Linked DNA regions of Schizosaccharomyces pombe. The protein of the gene in region 2 binds, or shares a complex with, the protein of the main gene of each other region. Each region holds a gene or a part of one and is shown on either strand. Other genes may lie near its edges.

Evidence for each region. The genes of interacting proteins can lie anywhere in the genome.
Region 1: rec12 (region 2) and rec14 share a complex: the UniProt entries of both Schizosaccharomyces pombe proteins name them as parts of the DSB catalytic core (DSBC) complex.

Annotation. Positions count from the first base shown.
Region 1 is NC_003423.3:2,784,867-2,788,906, forward strand, and holds rec14 (Ski complex WD repeat subunit Ski8), read left to right. Parts: upstream 1-2,028; 5' UTR 2,029-2,111; coding exon 2,112-2,400; exon of another isoform or gene 2,401-2,453; coding exon 2,454-3,073; 3' UTR 3,074-3,540; downstream 3,541-4,040. Other genes in the region: inositol phosphosphingolipid phospholipase C Css1, read right to left, coding at 1-685; protein Gem7, read left to right, coding at 3,604-3,879. UniProt on the Schizosaccharomyces pombe protein: Required for formation of the rec12-mediated double-strand breaks (DSBs) that initiate meiotic recombination.
Region 2 is NC_003424.3:1,771,134-1,774,758, forward strand, and holds rec12 (DNA topoisomerase type II (DSB-forming) Rec12/Spo11), read left to right. Parts: upstream 1-1,791; coding exon 1,792-2,072; exon of another isoform or gene 2,073-2,130; coding exon 2,131-2,239; exon of another isoform or gene 2,240-2,289; coding exon 2,290-2,367; exon of another isoform or gene 2,368-2,431; coding exon 2,432-2,560; exon of another isoform or gene 2,561-2,629; coding exon 2,630-3,070; downstream 3,071-3,625. Other genes in the region: UBA/TPR/DNAJ domain protein Ucp7, read left to right, coding at 3,125-3,625. UniProt on the Schizosaccharomyces pombe protein: Required for formation of the double-strand breaks (DSBs) that initiate meiotic recombination. Required for crossover recombination and chiasmatic segregation of chromosomes during meiosis I.

The DNA of each region.
Region 1 (4,040 bases), on a different chromosome or scaffold from region 2:
CAGCAATTTCAACCAACTCCTTATCATTCATGCTGAAACGGTTAGGTGGATGCTCAACTTGGTCAGGATAGACAGACAGCCAAGCATCATTGACCAAACCATAAGAGGTAATGATTTCGTGAGGAACACTAAGGGGTTGAATGTTGAAGTCACCAGCAGCGATTACGATATGACCACGTTGAACAGCAGCACGGAGCAATTTCGAGATATACCAGGCTTGTGACAGACGGTGGCACAAGTAGGTATCAGCACCCTTACCGTATGGAGCATGCAAATGAGTATTGAACAAAGAGATGATCCTTCCAGAGGGATGTTGTAAACTAGCTGTAGCGACACCCTTTCCAACATACCAATCACCTCTCCAAAAAGCTTGAGGACGACCATTAAGTGGATACTTGTTCATAGAAGATTCAATGATAGGAAACTTCGAAAACATGGCAAGTCCAGCACCCATAGCAGCACTATGGAAAAACCTAGAATAGACAAGATTGCAGCTCACCAAGTTACGAATTTCCTGAAAATCGTAAATCGACCATACTTCTTGAAGAAGAACAATGTCATAATCGCACTTCGCAAGTTTTTCGCCAACAGCTTTCAAACGTTCAGTACGGTACTTGGAAACAAAGCGCAATCCCCAACAATTAAACGAGAGAACACGCAGTTCAGGGGCCTTTTCAACACTCATTGTTGCGAGGTTGGAATTAAAAAGAGATAAAGAAGGACGGAGTTATTGCCGTCAAATGGAACAGTAAAACGAATAGTTTATAATTTGTATGTAAAGAAATAATCTAACAAAGTTTATTAGCTTAAGAAGAAAGAGAATTTAAGAAAAAAATGGATAAAGAGACGAAATTGCTGAATTAGTATAAAAACAAACAAAAAGCACCATCGTGGTCTTAAACCAAGCCAATGTCATTAACAGCATGAATTATAAAGACTCTGTCTCTTTTCTTCCACGAAAGCAGAAGACCAGCAATTTTCGACAAAAAGCTCATAACAGTATTAAAGAAGTGTTTTGAGACATTAAAATACCAATTGCAACAATTACAGCCTCAATGCATTTCATTCATAACTTACCTGTAACTAAGCGACAATATGTGCTTATTAGAACACGTATTATTAAGAAATCAGGAAATTTCTGAATATATACAAGAGGAAAGGTGGCGTGTTAAGAAAGGAAACAAGAGCCTTGTGCTTAACTTAAGCCGTTATTGTACACAGAACTGCGTGATTTTTTACTAATGTCAGATGACTCCATTTCCGATGTGTTAAAGTTATTTATGTAACGCGTTATATTTCGGTAAATCTGTAAACATTGGAGTAGAAGTTATAAATACAACACTATGTGAACTTGAGTAAACATCCATATTCCAGTGTTAAAAATTGGTTTATTTTTTATTTAGTATCTTTTAAAAATCAATATTAAAGATAGTCTTTCTTCCCTTCTGAATTGTGGCGTTTTTAAAAATCGTTTTGTAAGTGTGTTTAAGTCATTCGAAAAAAATGGTATGAATAAACAAGTTGTTCCAAATTGCATAATGAAATGATTAGGTTATCTACTAAAATAATTTATTCAAATTTACTTTACCTATTGCAAGAATCACGAAGCGTTATTTATCGTTTCTCTTGACTTGCTACACTAGACGAGTAAGATAAAGGGAAAAAAGTAATCTTAAATTTTAGTAATTGCTGTTATCTATATCATATAAATTAATCGACAATTATGGGCGCCAGGTCTTTTTATTTCCTGGATGTTAACATTTGATATCTGCTCATCTTTATTTGATCAAACTTCGAATTGTTCAAATTTGAAAAACCTACTATTGCCAAAAGTTTAAACAATTTAATTCAGTGTCACGGTTAACAACTAATAATCTCACCTTCTCATTTCTACCTACAGAAAAGAATTATTTTCTTTCATTCATACTTATAAATTCATCTTTTCACTAACATGTTTAGGGTATGTGCATAGACCGTGTATATCTAAGGAGAACGCAACCACAGTAAACTAAGTCCTGCTAGTCACAGGTTTAAGTATTATAAAGTATTGGAAAGCGCCAGCATTTTAATTACTAATTTTGTTGTATTATTTTCCTTATTTATTAGATACTATGAGGAAAGAGTATCTCGTTAGCCATATAGAAGAAAATGCACATCAAGCAGACATTTACTCTCTCAATGTAGTCGCAGGCAATCTTTGGTCGGCTTCTGGGGATTCCAAAATAAAAAAATGGTCTATAGGTGATGCTGAGCATAGCTTAGTTGAAGAAATAGATACCCCTCATAAACTTGGCGTTCATCATCTAGCAACTAGCTTGGATGAAAACGTCGTCGTTTCTTGCGGATTTGGACAGGATGTTTATGTTTGGAATCCTGAAACTAATGAATTTCGAGACTTGGGTACGAATTACTTTACGAAGAAGCTATGCATTTCTCTAACGAATATGATTTAGGTAATAATGCTCAACATCCCAGCGAATGCTGGTCTTCTTGCATTAGCCCTGATGGACAAACGATTGCTTTCACATCTGTAGACGGGCGTATTGCTGTCTGGGACAATCCAAGTGATTGCAAAATTTCCGAGTTAGATACCAAAGGTAAATTCGGTCTTTGTATAGACTATTCTCCCAATGGAAGATTTATCGTTTCTGGTCATCAAACTGGGCAGCTTTTCCTTATAAGTACAGAAACAGGACGCTTGTTTCATGTACTATCGGGCCACACTTCCCCTGTACGATCAGTGGCGTTCTCTCCTGGTTCAACACTTTTAGCTGCTGCCGGGGATTCTAAAATGATTACTATCTACGACGTTTTATCAGGGGATCAAGTCGGCCAACTTCGTGGTCATGCTGCATGGATTTTTGCAGTAGCTTTCAATCCCGTAGGTGATTTGTTGCTTTCGGCTGATGTTGAAGGAAAAATCAAAATCTGGGATATTGACACCATGGAATGTATTAGTACACAAAGTGAAACGGATGGAGCTATTTGGGCTGTGGCATGGTATAAAAATGGGTTCATCGTCGCAGGTGCTGATAAAAGTATTCGTTGGTATAGAGCTGCTGCTACAGAATAATTGCACTCTTGTGCTTTCTTAATGACCGATGGAAAAGTTTTTAAAAAATAGCAAAAAATTAAGGAGTTTCTAATATTTGGATTAATTATGAATATCAACACTTTACTCGTAAAACGAAAGGATCTTGAAATGGATTATTTTAGGGTAACGCATTTTTCTTTTCACTTTCATCATTACAAGTATGTTTGTATCATTGTTTACTTTCGTTCGATACGCTTTTACTTTTTATATAAATTATCTAAGCATAAATTCCTAAGGAAATACGAATCTCATTCAAAGTTTCCATTGTATTTAAAACATGAGTTGACTCATAATATCTATAAAAGTTTATTTTTTATTTTATAGGTAATGGTTAGCTTAGTTTCTTATGTGTTTTAACTGTATTACATTACGTGCCTAGAAAGTTTACTCTCACATACGATAACGACGCAAACCGTTTAAAACCATGCACATACTGCATATGTTATAATCTTTACTTTGAAGACTTTTTGTAATTCAAGATTACTTTTTGTTGATAAATTTTCACACTAATGGCAGAAAATAATAAAAAGTCTACTGCTTACATCCAGAGGATGCGAACACTAAAATTTTATCAAAAAATGGCTTCTGCGCGAATCCCGATCACTGTGTACCTCCACGATCAACGAGAAGTAAAAGCAGAATTTGGAGCGATAGACAGTAGTGAGTCAAAGTTGGCAGTTTCCAATCTACAAACCGATTGGGGCGTTATTAACAGAGCGGTGATACGAACAGGAGACGTCGTGGGCATCGAATACAATTTGGTGCAGGAAGAAGGAGAACTTTGATGATACATTACGATTTTCAGATACAGAAGCCTTAACAGCCATGGTATTCAATTCAGTGTTTACAGATGAGAAAGCGTGATGTACATAGTATGCATAGTTGTATAGAAGCGCAACATAATTAATGTTATTTATTTAGGAGGAATATTAAAAATAATATCGTA
Region 2 (3,625 bases):
TTTTTGGGTTTGTTTATGAATTCGTGAATTTTTAATTTGGTCATAGTTTTGACCATTAAGTTTGTTTTCCAAAAATGCTCTTTCCTTATCTACTTCGTTTATGCTTTGGAAAATTTCTTCTAAATAATATCTACGGGACTTCCTAATTCTTAAAATTGCAAAATCCGTCCGTGTTCTAAGTATTTATTTATTTTACTATTGTCTAAGTATATCGGAATGATTCTCAGAGCTTTGCACTTCTTTTTCCCTAAATTTTCTATTAACTTTTATCTTTTTGTTATTGTATTAACTTACAAAAGTAATACCGGTTCATCATGCAAAATTCCATGTTTTAACAGTTGTCATAACCTCTATCTTTTCTGTATAAGAAAGGGTAACTGTAAACCACAGTGCTATTGTTGCCTAATTGTTTCTACGTTTTCTTGAGTATTAAATACTTATTAAGAAGAAGCAAAAAAAAAAAACTTGATGAAATTATTCTCCTTTAGAAACCCTTGCTCATTTTTTATCTAGTTCGTCCTGTTTATCTGCTATGCCACAAGTACAAATTTCGGGAAGCAATATGGAGTGCCTATTTTCATTATTGTTTTCCATTGATGTCATTAGAATATTATCGTTATTTGTACATCAGATTAATTGCTATCTTCTGTTCTCGCAATAAGTTAAAAAAGCTATCACTATTGTCTTGACGAAGTATTGCACCATAATAAATGACTATTAATGAATCAAGCAAACACACTACATATGGCAACTTTTAAGCTTAAAAAATTCGTTAAAGACCCATTTGGATAGGTAGCATTTTCGTACAATTGTATGTTCTCCAATTTTATTTTTTCATTTGCAAAAGCAAACCACTGTCAGTTTCTCTTTAGGGCTGGCACAAGGAAAGCATATGCTAACATATACATCGAGCAGATAGTGAGTTAGACTACTTCTTCATGTTTAGTGTTGCAAATGACTTAGTAATTCCTGATTTGAAAATCTGTAAACTAGAAACAATCTTAAATTGGATTGGAGGATATTTCAAACTGTCTTATCAAAATTAAAATGAAAGTCCTTCTTGTTTATATATATACCTTTTGTATAAAAAGGTCAGTTTCATTCATATTTTTAACATTAATGTTATTATAAATAGGTTTAAATAATCATCAAGTTAACAGTTGGTCGCATGATGTAGTCGGTTATCATGTCGATCTAATAAGTCGAATGTCGCCAGTTCGAACCTGGCTGTGACCATGTTTTTTAATTACGTTTTCTCTCTTGACAAAGGAGTTGGCAAAACGAAATTATAAGTACAATATTTATTGAAACAGTTGATATACATATTTTTATAGAAAATTAAAACTATAGAAATAAATTAAGTAACCGCTTGATCTATGGCTCTTAGTTGTCGTATGTTGCATTTGAACTCGAAAGAGTTCAAATATATTTACTTTTCTTTCAACTTTTCTGTAGACAAGAACATAAGTTGTTTAGGAATTTCAAATTTCGATCCATCTTTACGATTTACCAATTCAGTCCGCAAAGCTCGCGTGAGTCTTCTCTTACACCATTTTATCAGAAGGAAAGTCTTCAGTAAGTATTTTTTAGCAGTTAACGAAAACACATATACTGTTTCGCCTTGATATTACCCATTTATTGAATGTATGTATCATTTCTTCAGAAAACAATCTCGCTTAGATATAGCTTATTTGAATTAAGCTATTGATTTTTTACACTGTAACCATACGCGCTTTGCATAATTATCTAGACAATGCAAAGAATGCTGAACGCGTCCAGAAAGTAAAAAAAATGAATTCGAATGATAAAAAAAAAGTTGTTAGATCATGGATTGAGCAATTTGTTCATGATTTTGTTGAGCAATTAAGTAAGCCTACCAAAGATTCAGTAAATGTTGCTTTGAAAAGACGAAAGCACAATTCTTGGAATGGCAGCTTAGATTCAAAGGCCAATGAAAGACAAAAAGTTAAGGTTTTTTCATTCCCCAGGAATGAAACAACAATTGCTCAACTATTCAGGGTTTTAGATTGTGTTCATGAAGCTGTTATTTCGGATACAGTAATCACTAAGCGGTAATTGCTTTGTACTATACGCCGAAAATTCAGATTTAAGTTCTAATTACATTTGCAGAGATATTTATTACAGAGATGTAGATTTATTCAAGCGACAAACCGTAGTCGATGAGCTGCTTGGAGATATTTCAAACACCATTGGTTGCTCCAGGTCCGACCTTAACGTTGTAAGTCATTTCTTTGGAAATAGATTCATTAACGATTAATTTGATCTTAGGAAGCATCTGCTAAAGGATTGGTATTTGGGTCCATTCATATTGCTCTTGAAAACGGGACAGTAATTACTGCTACTAAAGTAGGTTCAAGTTTTAATAACCGTAAAAATTGTTTTTTCTAACTAAGAATTTTACTAAATACAGCCATTATTAATCTCTCACCATCGAATTTCATCAATCACTTCCACAGCAAAATGGGTCTTGGTCATCGAAAAGGAAGCGGTATTCCAAACGCTAACCGAAGAGGCTTTAGCGGATACAATAATTGTTACAGTAAGTGAGAATGCTTCCTTTTCAATGATATTGATGTTAGAGTGCTAGCTAACTAATTGCTTGTAACAGGCTAAAGGATTTCCAGATTTGATGACGAGAAAATTTTTAGTTAAATTAGCCAAAGCCCTCCCGGATGCTAAATTTTTTGGTATTTTTGATTGGGACCCCCATGGCTTATGCATTTATTCCTGTTTCAAGTACGGTTCTAATGCCTACAGTCATGAACCGCACAGTCAATTACGAAATTTACAGCTTTTAGGCCCTCTGTATGAGGACATTTTTAATAAAAACCAAGAATTCTCTTTAAAATTGAATAAAAGGGATATTAAAATGATTACAACATTATTACAATTTGAAGGCTTCCAAAAGGAGCCCGTTGTTCGTGAACAGCTACAGCGAATGCTGTTTATCCAGAAAAAAGCGGAAATACAAGCAATTCTAGAATTTCCTTCATGGATCAAAGGAAAATTAGCTGATGCCGACAAAAGTGGAAAGCACTCAGTACGTTAAGTTCTTGGATAGTTCAACCTACTTTCACTACACTCCCATAATAAAGCCTCCAACATGGATGACTTGCTAGATTTCAATTTTTACGATAAATCTACACCATCTAATCAAAATAATTACAGTAATAATAATAGTAGAACGCCATCCTACTCCCTTCCCGCCCCAGTAGCCCAGAAAAAGAATGCACAAATTCCATTGAAAGCATCAAAGCCCGAAGACCCTTTTGCTAATTTATTTCAAAAGAAAACGGATAATAAAATTTCCTTAAAAGAACTAGAAAGGCAGAAAGTTGGAACTCCGGACTCCAATTCCACCCCCAAATCTTCAAATTACGATCCCTTTGAAAACCTTGAAATTTTGCATCAATTATCAAATACTCCTAGAGATAAAGATGCAGTTATTCATGATAAGATTGAAGAAAATAAAAGGCCGATTTCACAACCACAAGTATCGGCTTCCGAGAAAGTAACTTTAAAGGATTTGTCTTTAGAGCCGCATCAGCCTGTCAGTTTACCCGCCTTTGAGAATATTGGTTCGGAAACCTCTATCCCCTTTGAA